2 linked regions of the Pelodiscus sinensis genome follow. The protein of the gene in region 1 binds, or shares a complex with, the protein of each later gene. Links are inferred from orthologs where the notes say so. Each region holds a gene or a part of one and is shown on either strand. Other genes may lie near its edges.

Region 1 (10,198 bases):
GCCCAATAGATGATAGGTCCAGCAATGGCTATGAACTTATGGTTCTTTTTGAACCCTGTTAAAGTGCTGGTCTTCACAACATCCTCTGGCAAGGAGTTCCACAGGCTGATTGTGCGCTGTGTAAAGAAAAACTTCCTTATGTTTTGTTTTAAACCTGATGCCTATTAATTTCATTTGGTGACTCCTACTTCTTGTGTTCCTTATCTACTTATCCACACCAGTCATGATTTTATACACCTCCATCACATCTCCCCTTAGTTATATCTTTTCCACATTGAAATGTCCCAGTCTTATTAATCTCTTTTCCTGTGGCTGTTCCATACTCCTCATCATTTCTGTTGCCCTTTTCTGAACCTTTCCCCATTCCAATATACCTTTATTTGAATGAGGCAACCACATCTACACACAGTATTAAAGATTTAATTGCTTTCTATAGAGGCACTAAGGTACTTTCTGTCTTATTCTTACCCCTTTCTTAATGATTCCCAAACTTCTGTTCGCTTTTTTGACTGCCACTTCACACTGAGGCTACATCTAGACTGCAGGATTCTTGTGCACGAAGCTTTTCACTGAAGAGATCTTCTGCAAAAACTTCTTGTGCAAGAGCGCATCCACACTGCAAAAGTGCATCGAAATCGAAAAAGTGATGCAATTTTGTGAAAGAGAGCGTCCACACTCACTGGATGCTTTTTCACATATAAAGCCACCTGGAACCAGTTCTAGCTAGGCTTTAGGTTACGACACATGCTTAAAGGATCCCCCTGGACAGCCACTTCTCTGTTTCTGCTGCCTGCTTGTGGACCTCTGTTGAGGGACAGCAAAGCTTCAGCAGTGCCTGCTGTGGTTGCCCTGTTCTTTTTGGGGACACCACAGCTTTTTGCTTGGTGTGTGCTATAGAGTGGGCACTGCCCCTGGGCAGGTGACAGCCCCACACGGCCATGCTGCAGTTCCTGCAGCATTTGCTTCCAGCTGCCTACATGTTCCTGCTTGAGGTGTGGACGCTCCGTGGGTTTCTGCGCAAAAACCCTGTAGTGTAGATATAGCCTGAATGGATGTTTTCAGAGAATTATCCACAATGACTCTAAGATCTTTTTCTTGAGTGGTAATAGCTAATTTAGACCTCATCATTTGCAATGGATAGCTAGGGAATGAGGTTTTCCAGTGTGAATTACTTTGCATTTATCAACACTGAATTTCATCTGCCATTTTGTTGAGCAGTCACTCATTTTGTGAGATCCTTTTGAACTAACTGGACTGAAATTAACTGCAATCCAGGTGTCCTTGCGGAGGCTCAATGAAAACCTCTGCTTAGTGGGCAGAAGCCATCAAAGCATGAAGCAAAGCTATAAGATACAGCCCAATGGACTGGAGAAAAATACTGGTCCTATCCCAGTGCTGTCACGCCAATCAGTGGGATTGCCCTCACTTGCAATGCTGCGCTCTGCTCTAGCTACTCTCTCACGTCTGAAAAGACTGGGACTGCTCAGAGAAGTAACAGGTAAGAGGAGACAAGAAAGAGACCTGGCACAGCAGCAGTATGGCAGCGACTAGAGACTGGGAGTGCAGTGCGCTAGGCAACACGTTCATATCAGACACAGGTACAGCCTCTGCCCCAAATTGCCTATTATCTACATCAGGGTTTCCCAACCTATGGGTCACCATTACATTTCAAAAGGGTCACCAGGTGTCTCCCCAGGAGACTTTTTGTGAATTGCCCTGGGTCACCAAGTCTTCCTGAATTGTCGGAATGGGTCCCCCTCTGGAAAAGGTTGGGAACCGCTAATCTACATCGATGAAAAAAAGTCCATGTCTACACTGCCAGCACCGCTGCAGTGGCCACTTCCGTCAACAGGCCCAACCCCATGGGAGCACTCACCGGGAAAATTCTACAGTGGCAGAAGGGGTTTTTCTGTCAGTGTAGTAAATCTCTCTCTCTAGGTCTTGTCTAGTCTTTAATTCTGAGTCATGTCACTTTGCCACTGTAGCACTTTAGTGAAGAAAGACGCTACCTATGTTAGCGGGTTGTAGTTCTCTTCTCAGCATACGTATTCCATCTCCCAGAAAAGCAGTGGCTGGGTTGACAGGAGAATTCTCCTGTGGATCTAGCACTGTATACACTGGGGCTACGTCTACACTATGCACTTTGCCAGAAGAGGCAATGTAAATTAAGCGCTGATTAGCATTTTCTTGTGCTTCATTTGTGTAATCTCTTCCAATCCGTTTTTGTGCAAGAGGTTTTTGCGCAAAAACATGCAGCGTGGACGTTTCCTTTTTGCACAAAACACCCTTTTTGCACAAGATCCTTATGCCTCTCCCCGTCCACACTGCATGTTTTTGTGCAAAAACCTCTTGTGCAAAAATGGATGGGAAGAGATTACACAAATGAAGCATGAGAAAATGCTAATTGGCACTTCATTTAGGTTTCCTCTTCTGGCAAAGCAGCTCAAAAGTTTGCTTCTATCTCCAACAGAAACTAGTCCAGTAACACATATTACCTCACTCACCTTGTCTCTCTGACCCCATGAGTGAGGGTGCTGTGTGCCCGGGGGCAAAAGCAAAATTACCCCACACACCCCTCTGCCCGGCGGGGCCCCAAATCAGGTGCACAACTGAGCCCGACCCTGGGCGGGGGGGGAGCTTGTACCGTGTTTTCCCCTGTGCCCTCGTCTGGGGCCAGGCCCCTAGACACACTAACCCATCGGCAGACATGGAGGAAGGTGAGGCTAGGGGTGGAGAGGAGGCTCCAACCAATGGCGGTGGGCAGAGGAGGAGCAGGAGAGCTGAGGGACGACAGGGGGAACAGAGGGGGACTAAATTGGCACCCTCTAGCATTGCGCCCGGGGGCAACTGCCCCCTCGTTCCCCGCTTGATGAGCATAGCAGGATTCATAAAAGGACTGAACGTTATATGAATGACCAGAACCCTCACACTTACTTTTGATCAGAGAAAACAGAAGGATAGAATGTCTCCTGCTTCTGATCATAACCCAGGAACCAAGATGGATAAGAAAGAAACCCCTCGTGGAAACACATTATTGAACAATAAACTAAGGGGTTTTCTGCACCTTCATCCAACACAGCTGACTGTGGCCACTGTCAGAGACAGGAGACTGAACTGGACAGACCAGATCTGGCAATTGCTACCTATGTTCATACTCTGCCTGGACCTTCCTCCAGATGAGAAAGGACATTAGTGGAAGACAGCCAGGAAGACAGCACTGGAGCTATGCCTCAGTGTTCCTGTACCATGGGCATGGGAGCAGCTAGGGAGAGGAGACTTCATTAAGGCTCCTCATTCCCTTCTGACAGTTCTACAGCACTTTAATTTCTTGCGGTACTGATCCTGGTTTAGAAGTCAGCCTGGGAGCCATGTGGAGGGGACCCCATGATTCGTGACACTGTGGAACCCACACCCTTCTGCAGATTACAGAATTTCAGCAGCTGTTTCTAAACAATTCAGCTGCCAGCCCTCTTGGCTGTAGAGGAAGCTTTCTGAAGGTGCTTTCCTGCAGTGCTGTCTGCTGAAGTCTGCACAGCAAATATGTCTGGCGAGTGCCCAAACTCCTGGGCTCCATTTCCAGAGGAGGAGCAGGGCCAGTGAATTAAAGTGGGGAGAGGCCTGGCCTCTGGCAAAATTATGGCTTTGTCTTTGATTTGCTTTAGGACAAGGGCCAGTCCCTTCCCATCTGTGCCTTGGAACAAACGAGCTTTACTTTTGCTAGGGTGAGCAGTACTGACCCCCATCTCTCCTATAGCCCCCTTGCCCACCCTCTCCATTGCTGCTTTCCCCACATCTGCCTCTCACTTCCCAGCTCTTTCTCCCATCACAAACCCTACAGCCAAGAAACCCCTTGGAGAAATACACTCACCCACAGGATGGCATCAGGCCCCTGGTCACAGGGATCCTCGCTGAGAACCCTCAGCCCAAGGACCCTACTGAAAAGGAGACAAACAATGCTGCTGATACCAAGGAAACAGGAAGAATTTCCTGAGAGAGGGGCCCAGGACTGAAGCTCATTACAGACTCAGGCATGGGGGTGGATGTAGCACCCAGAGGGAAAGCATAGCTAATTTCATAGAGCCAGGAACAAAAAGGTAACTGGACCTAGATCACGGCTAGTAAGATTCCCGACTCACCTGCATCTAATCCATTCAGTAAGGCTCTGAATGCCGCTTACTCTCCAGCCCTAATACTTCCTCCCTCACATGGTCACAATAGTTGAGGGTGAGCTGGAGCAGAGAGATGAGGAAGCCTGAGCTGAGGCAACCAGGCCCAGTACAAAGGGCTTCCCAGATCACCACTTGCAAATCTCTCCCTGAGCGGTAGTTAATAAATAAATAGGCGGGTGGGGGAGGAGACACATGGGCAGGAGAGCAGGTGAGCAAGGTAGGCACTGCCTGTTCTCCCTGCCTCCTCCCCACCAAACCTTCAGCCTCCCTGGAGAACTAACAGTATCACAGAGGATAAAAACAAATTAAACTCCTCTGTCATCTGGAAATAGCCACCTGAGCCACAGCTCCTGGCCCTTCCAATCCTAGGCTCCGCACACAGCCTTGCTAGTGCCCCTCAGCCCTGCCCTGCAGCCCCCTGCTATTCCAGCCACGGGCTCCCCTCACAGCCCTGCCAGTGCCCCTCAGCCCTGCCCTGCAGCCCCCTGCTATTCCAGCCCTGGGCTTCCCTCACAGCCCCGCCAGTGCCCCTCAGTCCTGCCCTGCAGCCCCCTGCTATTCCAGTCCTGGGCTCCCCTCACAGCCCTGCCAGTGCCTCTCAGTCCTGCCCTGCAGCCCCCTGCTATTCCAGTCCTGGGCTCCCCTCACAGCCCTGCCAGTGCCCCTCAGCCCTGCCCTGCAGCCCCCTGCTATTCCAGCCCTGGGCTCCCCTCACAGCCCTGCCAGTGCCCCTCAGTCCTGCCCTGCAGCCCCCTGCTATTCCAGTCCTGGGCTCCCCTCACAGCCCTGCCAGTGCCCCTCAGCCCTGCCCTGCAGCCCCGGGTTCCCCTCACAGCCCTGCCAGTGCCCCTCAGCCCTGCCCTGCAGTCCCTGCTATTCCAGCCCTGGGCTCCCCTCACAGCCCTGCCAGTGCCCCTCAGCCCTGCCCTGCAGCCCCCTGCTAATCCAGCTCCCCAAACAGCCCTGCCAGTGTCACTCAAATCCCAGAATACCTACATCCCCTACAAATTTAGTGCCCCCTTTTATTTTTAAAAAGTGATTACACCAGAAATGCAGAATCATGAAGTTGAAGCTATGTCTACACATAAAATATTACAGATTACTCCTACCACAGGTCCCTTTTATCAGCCCCTGAAGACAACCTGGAGGTCTGCATTTAAAATGCTATTGTCCTGGGTCAGTGCAGACCAGTTGTGAACAACTTGAGGCCCTTTGGAATTCTGTGCATGGCCCATGAGCCATTTTGTTTACTGTTGCCCACACACAGGATTGAGATTCTGCTGGTTTTCGTCCACACTTTTTCCCTACTCGTATTACTAAAGTGACACGCATGAAAAGCAAGGGCACATGACATGAGGCGTCTGCTGACTGCACATGACAACACTGACAGAGCTGTGCACGCTCTCTGCATCCAGCCAAAGCACTGCTGTGGTTCAATCGGCACACCCCACAAATTCTAGTTACATTAGTGCAGTTTGCAAAACAACTCTATCCTGGGAGACTGTCTTGGTTAGGACAATTTTGTGACCCACTGAGATGAAGGAGGATCTCTCATGCGGCCCACTCACCAGCCCAGGTTGCCCCTTACTGGGGTAGACCCTTACCAGCAATGGGGGGATTCTGTCATTACTGCAGAAAATCCACCTCCCTGAGAGGCATTACGTAGGGTGATGGAAGAATTCTTCCATCAATCTAGTGCTGCCTGCACAGGGACTTGGGTTAGCTTAACCAAGTCAGTTAAGGGCGTTACATCCCTGAGCAACATAGCTAGATCAATCTTATTTTCTACTGTAGACCAACCCTGAATTATAAAGACCTTCATGCTCAATAATTGTGAAACTTCTTAAATTTCCTGCATCAATATGTTATTGTTCCCCTTATTTGGGGTCTTTGTCACATATTGTTTGTCTAACCTTGCCTGGACTAGAAGACTAAATTGTATTTACAAATACCTTAGCAAATATGTTTTGAACAATGCATTGTTAAATGTTATCTTTTAAGAAGACAGAGTTTGACACCTTTTAAAACACGTAAGCTTGCGGTGGTAAACCCTAAGATCCCTCTAACTATGTTAAACACGCCTAAACTACTGTGTAAAAATGTGTTAGTGAAGAAGTGCCTGCTGCAATATTTTTAAACACAATCTACTTTTCTAAACTAGACCCAGCCATTGCATTGAACAATGGAGCCTTGACAGGTTGAGAGATACACGGAGCCCCACCCCAAATGCCTGATGTTCCAGTCCTGAGCCCCCTTCACTCTGCTGCCTTATGTCCTGGCCTACAGCACTCCCTGTAGGATTTACAAGGTTGGAGGTTTAGAAAGTGTCAATTGGTTTCAAGCCTTCTGCTTCCAGGCCTAAGATTGCGATTCCCCATACCACACATCTTGATTTCCTTAAATTTAGCTCATGCAAGGTACTTATCTCCTGAAGGCAGAACTACACAGATTAGGGGATTACCAATAAGGGGGAGGGGAGAGGTAACCAGAGCTCCCTTCTACCTTACATTCAGTGGGGCGTGCTCTCTTTCCCAGGAAGCAGCGCTAAGATCCAGACTGGGTACACACTCACTGAGAAACACATGGGGACATTTTCAAAGCAGCTTTTATTCACAAGCTCAAAAAACAAAGATGCACAAAGAAACCAATTGCTGCAGAGTTTCCAAGAAGTAGGGGGCTCTTCTGGCAAACTGTAGCACACTGATGAGTGGTGGAGAGCAGTCCTGGAATCCCACTTGTCAAAAACTCTCACAGGCATGTAGTGTGGCATGACTTGGCCCAAGAAGGCCAGCAGAGGGTCCCGGTTTTCAGGAGACAGGCACACCCCCTGTCCCAGCCCCGTGTGGGGGCAGTGTCATTGGAGGCAGGAACATGGCTTTTAGCTTCCCAGACATGTTTGCAATCTCAGGATCCTGGGACTCATAAGATTTTATCAGTCGGGCAAATTTCAGGACACCTAAGAGAAAGAAGGGGAAGGAAGAAAACTGCTGGGAAGAGATCTAGCTGGTGACAGTATTCCCCAGTACCCCCCCCCCCCCCGGTAGGTTTTCCAAGGATACCATCCTGTGGCCAGACAAAGGAGCTGCAGGTGGAGAATACTGCACATGTGGGTCCAACGGCTGCACTAAAGTGCTGCTTGCACTGCCCTTTCCCCGGGCCCACACCGCTTTGTGCTGCCTGCCCTCGGCGGGAGCCTCCGACACAAAGGCCGGAAAGGGAAACCACCGCAGCCCGGCTCTGCCCCGGCCCGGCGAACCCACCTTCCCCATCGCTGCTGAAGCCGTAGGCTTTGATCACGTCCTGCTGGATCTGGGTGGCCACGGGCAGCAGGAACTGCAGCATCTTGCCCATGTCGTTGCAGGCGTTGTCCCGGGCCTCCTCCATGCGCTGCGCGTTCTCCGGGGAGCCGAAGGCCTTGATGACCTCGGCCAGCGCCACTGGGGAGACAGGCAGAGCAGTGAGCCCCGCCCAGCCCGCCCCGGGTGCAGCGCGCTGCGAGGGCAATGGGGCGCGGGGCCGCTGGGCCGGGACCCGCCTTCCCCGCTCTGCAGTGCAAGTCGCGATTTGCGGGGGGGGGGGCGCAAGTCGGGGCGCGCGGGGGCTCCTACCCGCCCTCACCTTTGGCCTGCTCGGCGCTCAGCGAGCCCGGCGCGGCGGGGGCCGGGGCAGCCATGAGGCGCTGCAGGCGCCAGCCGGGACCGCGGGCGCGAGCCGGCGCCGCTGACGTCAGGGGGCCGGGAGGGGCCGCAGCAGACGGGGCGGGACAGGGGCCGCGCGGCTGCGCTGCCGGGCCTGTGGGCGGGAGGCATCTCGCGCTGGGGGTGCAGCCCGGGAGCCCCCATCGCTCCCCGCCGCCCACACCCAGCAGAGCGCGAGCGGCCCCAGTCTGACATTCACCGCGGAGTGAGGCTCCCTGGCAGCGCAGAGAGCCTGCTAGACAAATACTAAAAGAGCTGAAATCACTGCGGAGAGGAGCCCGAGCGCGGGCCCCCAGCGGCTGCCAGTGCGCGCTCGCTCAGGGTGACTTCCAAGCAAGGGCGTGTAGAGCTCCTGCGGACTCTGCACAGCCCCCCCCCCAAAGCACCGGCCCCCAAAACCACATGCCACGTGCTGTGAGCCCCGCAAAGGAGCGTGTATTGAACAAATTAGCGCTATGCAGATGAGGTGATTTCCTATTGGTGTAAAAACGCAAAGGCCACGCCCCCTTACGACAGTGGCGGCGGGGCCGGTGGAAAAAAGCCCGGCGCGGGGCGGGGCACGTGCTCTCAGGGCAGCTTGCACTAGGCAGGAGAGTGATAGAGGCGCCCGGCGAGTGCACAGCAGTGCCCTGCCTGCGGCGTTTGTTTACGCGCTGTACTGGCTAGCACTGAGTTGGGGGCTGCTCTCCGCCCCTCTGCAGAGCTCATAAGGCAGCTTGGCACCATGGGCACTGCATAGGGTTGCCAGGTGGCCTGTTTTTGCCTGAACAGTCAGTTATTCATGGCACCTCTGGTTTAAAAAAAAAAAATACTGGACATGTAAAATATCTGATAGTTTGGCTATCTCTACATTGGCAAGATTTTGCACAAGAACACTGACATTCTAATGTATGAAATCAGTGCTTCTTGCCCAAATACTCTGACGCTCCAGCTCAGGGGTAAGCCCTCTTGCGCAAGAGGCCAGTGTAGACAGAATTACTTGCACAAGAAAGCCCAATGTTTAAAATGGCCATCAGAGCTTTCTTGCACAAGAGAGCATCTACACTGGCACGGATGCTTTTGTGCAAAAAGCACATCTCTTGTGCAAAGGCACATGCCACTGTAGATGCTCTCTTGTGCAAATACTTTAACGCAAAAACTCTTGCATTAAAAGTATTTGCGCAAAATCATGCCAGTGTAGATGTAGCCCTGCTGTCTGACCTGGGTGGGAGTGATTGGGGGAGAGGGGAAGCAAGTAGCACAGAGATTTTTAAAGGTGCAGTTTCCTAGCAACTTCGTTTTTTTAATCAACCAATTTTTTTCCTGCCATGTTCAGGATTTTTTGTGAAAATATCTGGCAACCCTAGTTCTGGGCATTGTCCCCCTTTCTGCTCCGAGCGCTATCACCGTTGTGTCCTCCAGGCTGGCAACCACCCTCAGACAGGTCCCAGGAGTTCTGAGTGGGGAGCCCCAGGGCTATGTCTACACTTGCGACTTCTTGCGCAAGAAATATGTGAATGAGGCTAAGCGTGGAATATCACTGAGCCTCATTTGCATACCTAATGAACCACCATTTTTGCAGAAGAGGCTCTTGTGCCAGAAGGAGCTGTCGATACTGCCCCTTCTTGCGCAAGAAAAACCCTCTTACGCAATGCTGTTATTCCTGAAAATAATCCGCATAGCGGCATTGCGCAAAGAGGGTTTTTCTTGCGCAAGAAGGGACAGTGTAGACAGCTCCTTCTGGCGCAACAGCCTCTTCTGCAAAATGGCAGCTCATTAGGTATGCAAATGAGGCTCAGTGATATTCCACACTTAGCTTCATTCACATATTTCTCACACAAGAAGGTGCAAGTGTAGACATAGCCTGGGAGTGCAGGCTCTGGAGTGGAGCTGGGGATGAGGGGCTCAGAGCTGGGACAGAGGGTTGGGGTGTTAGGGCTCTGCTCTTGCTGGGCTGCATGGGAGTCAGGGGAGGCTCAGGGTTAGGCCACAGTAGGGGGGTTTGGGGCCCAGCCACTCCAACCACAGCAGGTGGATCTGGGCTGCTTGGGTTGTGGTGGTGAGGGGTAATCCCAGCTGACGGGTTCCAGGCTGCTCCCGGGCCTGGGCTACCTGGCTGCTGTGCTAGGGTAGATCTCCAGGGCCAGGCCACGGCAGGAGCTGGGTCTGGGGCTGGGCTGCTCAAGCTGTAGCAGGTGAGGGTCCAAGCCTGGGCCATGGTTGCCTTCCAGCTTTTGCAGAAAAACTTGCCAGCTGTCTACACTGACCACTTGAATTTGCGCAAGAACACTGACGATCTGATGTAAGATTGTCAGTGTTCTTTCGCAAATACTATGATGCTCCCGTTCGGGG
Region 2 (11,109 bases), about 2.7 Mb from region 1:
ACAAAACAAATTTCTTTTATTTTACATAACTGGGGTGGGGGGAGGGAGGAATGAGGGTAGGAGATGGGAGGGGGAAACCTGGGAGGAGGGAGCTGGAAGGGAAGGGAAGGGAAGGGAAGGGAAGGGAAGGGAAGGGAAGGGAAGGGAAGGGAAGGGAAGGGAAGGGAAGGGAAGGGAAGGGAAAGCTCAGGGTTTGGGGTATTGCTGGCTCTCCCGTCTCGCAGCACTGCAGGTGCGGAGGCGTCGGGGGGCAGTGGATGTGAAGGGGGGGCAGGAAGGACGGGGGTAGGCCGAGGAAGTGGGAGGGGGAGCTGGAGTGGGAGGAGGTGCAAGAGTTGGGGCGGCCGCAGGGGCTGGAGCAGGAGGAGGCAGGAACCTGTCCACCGGGGTCTGGAGGTGACCTCTGAGGGCACGGCCCTGCTCCTCCAGTGCCTGCAAGCTCTGCTGCCGCGGACCCAGTGCTCCTGGTTGCAGAGCTGCTGCCCCAGTAGCCGCAGGTGCCACCGCTGGTACTCCTCCTGGTTCCTGGCGCGTCTGCTGGCCTGGGTGTGGGTGGCTGTTGCAGGTGAAATGGTGCGCCCTGCAGTCCCAGGTGCTGCGGCTGTGGTGAAACAAGAGCAGTGGTCAGTTCTCCCTGGGGACACAGTGGGTGAAACCCAGCTCCCCTCTGCAAGGCGAGGTCGGCGTGTGGGGAACGGGCCAGGGCCCCTGCATGACACCCAGCTGCTGCTCCGTGGTGGGCAAGGCCCAGGCACATGGTCTCTGGGCTCTCTCTCCCCCCACACCTCCCATACATATAAGGGGAGCATGATGGCTCTCACATGTGGAGCCCTCCTCGGCCTTGGACGACACAGCAGATGTGCTCTGTGGGATGACTCGGGGGGGCTGGGATCTTGGGCAGGCTCCCTGCAGGCTCCTGCGGCTCCTAGCTCTCGGCATCCTCCTCTTTCTCCGTCTCTGCCCCGGGGTCGACCACCACCTGGGGGGCATGGACTGCGTGAGACCCCAGGATGTGGTCCAGGGCCTCAAAGTGAGGGCAGGCCTCTGGGTTGGCCCCTGGTTGGGAGGCTCTGGAGCAGGCCTGCTGCAGGTCCTTAATTTTGCAGTGGACCTGCTCCTGGATCCGTATGTGGCCTCTGGCGGCCAGGCTGGCGGCCATGTGGCTGTAGAAGGCCGTGTTCCTGTGCCTAGTGAGGGTCGTGGACGTTGGAGGCCTCCCCCCAAACCTCAGTGAGGTCAACGATCTCCACACTAGACCAGATGGGCGCCCGCCTTTTGCAACTCTGTGCAGGGTCCTGGGAGCCGTCAGCCTGGTCCTGGGAAGAGGCGGAGGGCTGGGTGGCATCGGGTGGCTGGCTCATCTTGTGCCAGGTGCAGGGTCTGCTGGCTGGGTGCTGGCAGGCTTGCAACTGGCACGAGCACCGTAGCCAGCCCGTGCCCCTTTAAGGGTTCCTGTGCTGGGAGAGGGCAGAAGAGTCTCCCTGGTTTGGCCCAGAATGGGCTACACAGACCTTAATTCAAACTACTTAATTCGAACTAGGTGTTAGTCCTCATAGAATGAGGTTTACCTAGTTCGAATTAAGCACTCCACTAGTTTGAATTAAATTTTGAAATAGCGGTTTGCATGTATAGCCACTATTAAAGTTAATTCGAACTAATGGCTGTAGTATAGACATGCTTCGTGACATACCCTATGACTTGGTCAGAAGTCAGGCCAAGCAGTCTGTAAGGGTATGTCTACACTAGCCACTTCATTGCAGGAGGAGTAACAGTTAATCCAAACTAAGGACTTAGTTTGGATTAACTTCTGACTGCCACGTGTAGCTGCAGGCAGTCAGTTTGAACTAAGGAGATTTTAAAATGACGCCTGCCTGGGAACATGCAAATGAAGCCCGGGATATTTAAATCCCAGGCTTCATTTGCAAGTTCGAATGCCTACATTAACCACCCTAGTTCGAACTAGGGGTCTCGTGTAGACATACCCTGGGTCTCTTTAAAGAGGCAGGCTATTAAAAGAAATATTTGAAGTGAAAGGGGCTAACCACTCCTGTGCCAGATGTAGATGAATCCTATTTCTCTATTAAAACACATGGCTCAGAGCCCTTACATCTGCCAGTGGTTCTACTGCAGTCACAGATCACCAGGCCCAGGTACTTACCATTTCCTGGGCAGCACAGATCTATAGTAGACATGATCCTTCTGCAGATTTCAGGACAGAGCACACTGTACCTGGACACCTTTCACTAGAGGATCTCATGCTCAAAGGAACCCAGTATAAGAGGCTGCACATCTACTCTATCTTGGTCTTGGTTTGTTATAAATTAATCCTTCCAGTGGGTCTGAAATAAAAAATTAATACCTACAGATGTGTCTTGCTTCATCCTACAATGTGCCTTATTATGCACTACAATTACAGGGAGAAGTGTTTTTCTGACACTGCTTAGTGTGCTCACTGGGCACTTAGGACTTTATCAGCATGAGCCAAGGACATTTTCTGGCAAAGTGCTGCAGGCAGTGCACATTCCCAGCCCAGCTCTGTTCTGGTGCAACTAAATCAACACTTAAGCTTTGAAAACTCCTAAATGGCAAGAGCCCAGACCAGACCACCACATTCAGGGTATGTTTTTCTCTTATCAGCCCTGAAAGCAATGTAATGGTTTGGATAGTTATGTTGATAAACCTAGACACCAGGAAGGGCTGTTATTGGATTGGAGAAAGGCTTTCTGTGATTGAGGAGCCAGTAAGGGAAACTGAGGCCACAGCACCACCCTTGGCCTCTAGGGGAAACTTAGAAGGCAGCCCATCCTTCTACACTGCTTGGATTGGAGGGAAAACTGGTATCTCCAGCAACTCACAGTTCATGCACCAAGTTGTCTCAGCCCTTTCCTGGGTCTCATGTGTCCTCTCTCACCATGGAAGGAGAAGAGAACTCCATGGGAGCATGGCTGTCTCAGTCAAGTGGGCAGTGTAGCATGACCTCTCCTTTCAGCACAGTGCACTGTTGCCCCCAGGAGACCCCACTGGCCCACAAGGGAAATGCAGCCACTATTAAATCCTCCTTCTCTTTCATTACTTGACTTATGGAGAAAGCCTCATGTCCCATGCAGGCCTTGGACAACTTCCCCATTATTGGAATTTCTTTTGTGTAGCCTGAAAGGAGTGGACTAGGTCACATGACCTAGCAGGAGGGCCAAGCCACACATGGGTTGGAGAACAGCAAAACCAAAGTGGCTACCAACAGGAGTGCCAGGAAAGAAGAGACTCTGCCCTGCCCTGCCCTGCCCTGCCCTGCCCTGCCTGATTACTGGGTGATGCCTGCAGGGAGAAATGCCCTTCACAGCTTGCTGTGTCCATGGTCAGGTAGATTGGTTTGTACTTGTGGCATGATCCAAATCAGGCTGAGAGTGGGAGATTGGTTTTAGCTGTGGAGGAGCAATGACAGCTCCAGTTCTTTGGCAAGTGATAGAAATGTAGCCGTGTTAGTCTGGTGTAGCTGAAACGTAAGACAGGACTATATAGCACTTTAAAGACTAACAAGATGGTTTATTAGGTGATGAGCTTTCATGGCCAGACCCACTTCCTGAGGTCAAATCGTGGACAATTGACAATTTTTTGGCCCACGAAAACTTCTTTGGCAAGAGCAGTGATATAAGCTGTGCAGGAGAGTGCTTTGAAACATGGCACAACCCATGTGGGTGAGCTTGTGTGTCTGCAACTAGGGTGAAGTTCACTGTTCTTGAAAAGACTTGAAGGGAAGTGATGTAACAAAGAGCTCTGTCCCAACCTCTCCCCTGGAAGGACCACCCACTGACTGCCCTCTCAGACCTACTTTCAATCCCATCTTGCCAGACAGAAAGTATACATGCCCACAGCACCCTAAGTCCTCTCCCATCCAACGCCGCTCGACTGTTTTAGTCTCAGATATTCATTTTTCTTTTGATTAAGATTTTCTTTTCCCCAAAATATAATAGCTGTCAGATGGTATCCAGACAGACATAGCTACCACCAGGGCTGGCCCAAGCCCTTTTGGTGCCCTGGGCACACGGCACATGTGTGGGCCTGCCTGTGGGGTGCAGGCCCACCCCCTCAGGGTGTGCGGGCCCGTGCGCACAGCGCATGCGTGGGTCAGCCATGGCCAGGCCGTGCAGGGCCCCGTGGCCATGGGGGGAAGTGAGTTGCTGGCCAGTGCCACGGGGCCGGCACTACAGGAGCCAGGCGCGTGGCACCTGATGGCAGCTGTAAGGGATGCTGTGCGCCCCTTATAGCTGCCATCAGGTGCCCCCCATTGGTTGGCGCCCTGGGCAGCTGCCCGGCTCGCCCATGCCTCTGTCCAGTCCTGGTTACTACAATGGGGGATAACACAAAGGTCTAGTCCATACGGAAGGGGAAAGTCGACTTAAGATTCGCTACTCCAGCTACATTAATTACGTCGCTGGAGTGGAAGTATTTTACATCATATTTTGGCGCCATCCACACAGCGGGAGGTGGATGGGAGCACACGCTCCCTTTGACTTCCTTTGCTCCTCATAGGAGTAGGACTGCTGGTGCCAATGGGGGAGCCCTCTCAGTTCCAATTAGCACATCTTCACTAGACCCATTAATTCAATCCCTGGAAGATCAACTGCATAGTATAGCGTAGACAAACCCAAAGAGCATCCAGTATTGTGCCGCTACAGACTCATTTGCATTCTCCTCTCCAGACTGCTTCATAGACCAAAAGTCCAGCACTCACCCAATCATTGCAGTAGCTTTGTTACAAATGTTCCAGCATATGAATAAATAAGGCTGGTAATGTCTGAAGCCCTTTTTTCTGGAAAAGGGGAAAAGTTTTTGAGGAAGTAATGGAAAAGTCAGTTAGACAAACTGGGAACAGGCTGTCATGAGTGGGGCCTGTACAGTCTAATCTAGTAGTCAGAGCAGACGTCAGGAGTCAGACCAGATCATTCCAGGAAGTCAGAGTCTGATGCAAGCCAGAAAGTAAAACTGAGAGTCAGACAGGGTGAAGATTCCGGGAGTAGCCGAGTTAGTCTGTTACAGAAAAAAACAGCAAGCAAATGGTCTGGTAGCACTTTATAAACTAACAAAACATGTAGATGGGATCATGAGCTTTCGTGGGCACAGCCCACGAAGTTACTAAAGCAGCTTGAAAGGGAGGCTGCAGAACTGAATTTAATGTACAAGTCTGATCCCTGCAACAGAGGTCTCAACAAAGACCTTGCTTGGATGACATGCTACATTCCACATTCTAATGACATAAAAAGCCAAGACCAAGACCAAAGCCAAGGCCAAGACCTTAAATGTATTTAGTACCCTCTCTATCAGCTTCATTTAGCATGGACTCTCTAATTCACAATTTCCCCCCTTTTTTGCCTTCTTTTTCCTTCTCTTCCCCCTCAATTCCCTTTCTTACTCCATTATTTATTTGGAAACTGGACTTCTTGCTCCATTCATCTGAAGAAGTGGACTGAGCCCATGAAAGCTCATCATCAAGCTACAAGTCTTGTTAGTCTCTAAGGTGCTGCAGGACTATTTGTTGTTTTTAAAGTTTTTTCAGTTACAGACTATCATGGCTCCCCCCCCCCCCCCCCAGACTTTAGATCAGTATTAGGTAGGTACAAAAGGAAAAGTCCTGAGAAGGAAGAACCCAGTTGTTTGGGTTAAATAGAGATTACAGACCAAACAGGGCTCCCAGCATTCCACCAATCAGATCCCAGGACATGCGACTTCTGTCAAAGTTCAGCTGCTATTCGGGAAACTGGTGACTGGATGCTGTATGGTAAATCATGGGTGCCTAGTACCACCGAGTCCTGTAAACCAGGGTTTAAGCCCCCTGGTTTCAGACACAGGATCCAGAAAAGATGTAATGGAGAAATGCTTGGTTAGGGTTAGTGGTCTACTTAATTGCAGAGAAACACTTTTCAGGTCTTGGTCACCGCACAAACAGCAAATTTTGCATATGAGTAACATACCTGAAAAATTTGCTATTTATGACATCATCAAAGCACAAAAAATATGTGATTCCTCAAACTAATAGCTGGGCTCCAAAGGCACAAGTCTATATGGGGGTCCTGGTATTGGTGTGTGTTATTGCCATGTGGAGGTCATGGTATTGCTTCTGTGCTCTTGCTGGCGGCAATGCTGACAGCAGCTGGGGGCAGGAGGCAGCAGCTGATGCCCAGGCACCCAGCTCTGAAGCTGCAGAGAAATAAGGGTGGTACAGAACTGACTTCAGAACTGAGTAGCTGGAGACCAGATTTCACTATCCATGATGCCATTTTCACAGCTTCAAATGTGATAGACCCCTAGTTATGGTTCAGGCAAAGACTAGAGATAGAGTTTTTCTTATTTCAATTTCATCCTCTTGCAGATAATCCAAGTGGCTTGGCCATAGTCCACAGGTCCACGATAGGTGGAGCCCTGCAAACCTGTGGATATCTGCTTTATATCCATTGGTATCATTTCTGCAGATATTGATGTGGATACAATTTTGTATCTGAAACCCTGCAAGTTTGCAGATATCTACTTTATATTCACAGATCACTTTTGCAGATTCAGATGTGGGTGAGGATACCAATTTTGTATCCATGCAGGGTTCTGAAGATAAATCCAGGTCTCCACTAGGCTACACTTGCGTCCCTGATAATGCAAGTAGGAAACATGAGCAGGGATTTCAGGCTACACTCTGATCTCATTTATGGAAGTATAAATACGAAGTGAATATATTCACCTAAATGTGGGTTTACACCAGAGTAATTAAAAAAAAGATTCTTGCCCCACGTTTTAAGAAATGCAGAGATACTAGCTAATCATTGATTGCTTAGACAACACTACATTTAATATTTAAGTGTCCTGAAGAAGATTAATTTAATAGGTAAACCTACAAAGAGAGAAGTTCCTGTGAGCGCTTAGTGAGGGGGCATCACATTTCAAACTAGCAGAGTGGAAACTTCCTGTGCAACTTTCAGATGGAGCATTGCAGAGCGTACAATTCTTCTCCTCCTGGTTCCTGTTGTCCATCTCTTTGAAAGCAGTGACGGGGTGAAACCAGATTGTCTCTCTCAGAAATATTTGTGGCGCACCTAAGTCTAGTTCCTGCACTCCAGTTTCCTATCAAAGAGAGCTCCAAAGGTATGAGAAGAACATTTTGTTGGGGTGATGGGGATCTTCATTGTTAGAGCATGTAGTTGTTGAAAGAGGTATAGTTTATTACTTTGGTATACTTCAAGGAATGAATGGAATTAGTCTGAAACAGACATGTGTTTGCAAATATTGTCTGTTTACAATATTTTTCTTCTCACTTAAATTTAAGAGTGACAGTATGGAATAGAGAACCATTTCCTTACTGGTATTGGTATTAAGTGACTGTGAAAGGATTTATTATTGCAGGCAAATCAGCATTTAAATTCTAAATTTCTGTATTTTATGCATCTCTGGTGCAGTGTATCTACTATATCCTTGAGGGAGTTTGCCTGTGAGCAAGCAAGCAAGTCTGTCTGTTTGGCTGTGTGTTCAAGAACTCCTTCTAAACAATTAAGAGCTAGGACCACCAACTTTGGTAGGCAGCTTCCTCTTACCCTAACTTAAAACAAGGTCAGTTTGGTTGTGCCAGGACATTGGGGTGTGCCTGGAATGCAATTGTTTTTCATACCATAAAAAGGGAGGGGATTGCTAGCAGGAACACTTATACTCTGTAATGATCACAAGAAGGCAGCAAGGGGCCAGAGATGGAGATGGGGACAGCTATAACTTCATCAGGACAGCAGAGGTCAGGGGTGGAGATAAGCTTCCCACTCAACCCCCAGCCAGTGTGGCCCTCACTGCAGCCAGCCCCATGGAGCTGCCACCCAGACAACATGGCCCTCACTGGCTCCTGAACTGGCTCCTCAGTCCCCTGCCTTGAGCCCTTCCTCATTCCCCAATGGTGACTGCAGCACCCACACATCCTCCAAACTCATGCCCTGAGCTCCTCCTCAAATCCCAAACCTGACTCCTACACCCCCTATACACACACCCAGCTCCCTGCCCTGAAGGACCCAATCAACACCAGAGAAATCTTCCAGTAGGACAACCTAGAAAAACAGTATAAGCTGAGGAAAACCAGAGATATATCTTGATTTTTTGTAAGGAATTTGATAGTGTTTCCCAAGAAATCTTACTTGGCAAATTAATTCAGATAATCTTGAATGTGAACATTATAAATGAATAAAACATTGTTTGAAATATTGTGAACCAAAGACAATGCTAAGTAAAAATGGACTGAGATTAATGGTAAGATCTTTATTATTTATCATCTTCAGAACTATATTGGAAACTGAATTATATAGCCTTCTAATGTAATCAAAATTAATGATTTTAAATGGAGGGGTGTTGCAAACACAAGATCAGACAGATAACACAGACCTACTTGGAAAGTTTAGCAAAGTGAGCACAAAATAATGTTAAAACTGTTACAGCAGATGTAGTAATCCAATACATGGCTATCCAGTGATAGGGAGAAATGAAACCAGTAATGATGAAAGTAACCTAGGAGTTAGAGTGGATAGCAGATCAGACATTTTGCAAAAAACTAGCTAACAGTTTAAGCATTGGAAGGTGCTCTGATTATAGGTCTGTGTCTCTATGGCCCCGATGAGTGTGGTATTCTTAGTGCATTTTCAATTTAGTGCACTGCCATTCTGAGTCATTATTTGAAGCTTTTATTATTTACTAGCATTACCCATCCCGTTGTGACAGTAGACGTACACTCAGGTTGGCCTGGCGCAGGGGGGCAAAAGCAGACCTAGCTGCCATTTTGCCCATAAAGGACCCATTGCTGCCATGGCCGTGTCCTCGCTGCTCTGCCCCCACCTCGCACTGCCCATGCACACCGTGCACTCACACCCACTGGAGAGCACCGGGTGCAGCTGGAGTTGGTTATCCAGGTGCCAGCGGGCTGTATCCTGACCAGCCTGCTGGCTCACAGCACTCCTGGCAAGGCGCGGCCTCCATTCCACGCTCAGCCCATGGGCTGCTAACTTAGCTGAACCAGTCTGAGGGGGAGGAGGGAGGATTTCAGGGTCACAGCAAGGGGAGGCATTTCGGGGCCAGGTTTGCAAGCATGGGGCATGGCGCAGTACTGAGGGGTTGACTCAGGTATTTAATGGGCTGCTGGGGGGAGTGGAGTGCCTAGGCTCACACCAGGAGGGGGCTGGATTCTGGCAGTTGCTTGGGTGACGGGACCTCTCAGACCCCACTTCAGTGTGAGTCCCCCCACGCCTGCTGACCATACAGCAGAGCAACCTCGCCCAAGTCCCGGCGCACTCAAGGTGGGCAAGAGGGACTGGGCAGTGACACAGGAGTGGCGCGCAGGTTGCACTGCCCGGGAGGGGTGTGCGCCATTACTCGGCAGTGGCTGGTTGGTCTCTGGCAACTCGGTGGGAAAGTTAAAGGCGCACAAAGTGCCTGAGCTGCACCTTCCTCCTCCCCCTCCCAATGCATGGCATCTTGTGACATGTCAGAGGCAGGGGAGTCTCGTGGGAAGTCTGTTCTCTGTGACAGAGGTCATGACGGATGCCTCTCCTTTTATAGCAGTACAGATTTGTTGAATGCCTACTGTGTAGCTGGCTGAACAGAACACAGGGACATGGGTCAAGATGTTCAAAAAAAGGGTACTAAAGGTAGCCTCCTAAATTCATAGTAGGCCTCTAAAAAGTAAATTCATGCTTAAACATACTGAGCACCTGTTGGTTCCCTCCAAGTCTATGGCTGCTATCGGGAGCTCAGCACTTCTCAAAACTAGGATACGTAAATAGGCACCTCCACACAGAATAGGAAGCCTAATTTTTATCCCTCATGTATGAACATTTTTGCCATGGACCCTGTCCCATAGATTTAGATAAATAAGGCTGCATCTAGATTGGCATGATTTTGCGCAAAAGTGACTGCCTGTCTACACTGGCCACGAGTATTTGCGCAAGAACACTGCCTTTGTAATGTACAAAATTAGTGGTTCTTGCACAAATATTCCGATGCTTCTGCTCAAGGATAAGCCCCCTTGCGCAATATACTTGTGCAAGAGGCCAGTGTAGAAAGCCACGTTAATTTCTGGCGCAAGAAAGCCTGATGGTTAAAATGGCCATTGGAGCTTTCTTGTGCAAGAGAGCGTCTACACCGGCACGGATGCTTTTGCACAAAAGCACATCTTTTCCATTAAAAGTATTTGCGCAAAATCATGCCAGTCTAGACACAGCCTAAGTGTTTAAAAAATAAAACAGAAAGTAGTGGGCAGATGGAAGGCATTCAGAAGATGCATTTTACTAAAGGGCCTGGAGGGACTAGCTTCTAAAGAAAGACTGAAAAACTGTGTGTGCAATGAACTTTGTTCAAGCCATGACTAAAAGGCGATACACAATTACTGCCTAGAAATACTGACAATGTGTCTGCACCTAGAAGCCAAATGGACTGTTCAGGGTGGTGTGAAATTGAAGAAATAGATGTAAAGCAAGAGTTCAGACAAAAGAATTTCCCAAGGTAGATGGTGGAAATCCCTTGACATGCAAGATTAGAAATGAGCCTGGATAAAGCCATGCAGAGAACCCTACAAGATGCTTAAGAGAGTAAGCTCCAGGCTGAGTACAGTGCAGGGCTGCTGTATCCACCATGCATGAGGTGGGGAGAGGGCCCTGTTTCACCAGCTAGGGAAGGGAAGCAATCTCCAGACCCAAGTTGCTTTTCATACCCTGCTTTGTTCTATATCACTATGGGAACAAACAACGCTAAGAAAAAAATCTCACCTGAAAATACTAGTCACAAGTCCTGGGGGCTTCCCTGCTTTGACCAGCCAGGGGGAAAGAGGAAACCTTTCCTTCCTGACTATCTGCACGCTGCTTCCTGAACTCCCTGGCATGTGAGAGGCAGGGATCCTTTCCCCATTCCAGACTACTGCTGTGTCCTTGTCACAGACTCCCAAAGGATGCATTATGCCAGATGTACCCAGAGCTGTCACGGAGCAGAATGCAGTCCCAGGGCTCTGCCTGTCTGGACTCAAGGAGCATTGTGCAATCAAGGGGAAGAGCAGGTGGAGGAGGTGCACATCTCAAATGGCCATTCTTGGAGCACTGATGCCTACTG

The links.
Region 2: the proteins of PTPN6 (region 1) and NKG2-A/NKG2-B type II integral membrane protein-like are in contact, whole or in part, in an NMR structure (PDB 2YU7), measured with the Homo sapiens proteins. The link is inferred for Pelodiscus sinensis from reciprocal best matches to the Homo sapiens genes PTPN6 and KLRC1. Residues at the interface, in NP_002822.2 of Homo sapiens: Gly117, Gly118, Glu121, Arg136, Ser138, Leu139, Ser140, Val146, Thr165, His166, Ile167, Lys168, Val178, Gly179, Gly180, Leu181, Glu182, Ile199, Glu200, Glu201, Ala202; in NP_002250.2 of Homo sapiens: Ile38, Thr39, Tyr40, Ala41, Glu42, Leu43, Asn44, Leu45, Gln46, Lys47.

Annotation. Positions count from the first base shown.
Region 1 is NC_134711.1:138,129,440-138,139,637, forward strand, and holds the start of PTPN6 (tyrosine-protein phosphatase non-receptor type 6), read right to left. Parts: upstream 4,292-10,198; 5' UTR 4,137-4,291; intron 3,936-4,136; 5' UTR 3,883-3,935; coding exon 3,869-3,882; intron 1-3,868. Other genes in the region: C1H12orf57 (protein C10), read right to left, coding at 6,977-7,125, 7,430-7,606, 7,788-7,842. UniProt on the Homo sapiens protein: Tyrosine phosphatase enzyme that plays important roles in controlling immune signaling pathways and fundamental physiological processes such as hematopoiesis.
Region 2 is NC_134711.1:135,403,026-135,414,134, forward strand, and holds the start of NKG2-A/NKG2-B type II integral membrane protein-like, read left to right. Parts: upstream 1-6,993; 5' UTR 6,994-7,128; intron 7,129-11,109. UniProt on the Homo sapiens protein: Immune inhibitory receptor involved in self-nonself discrimination.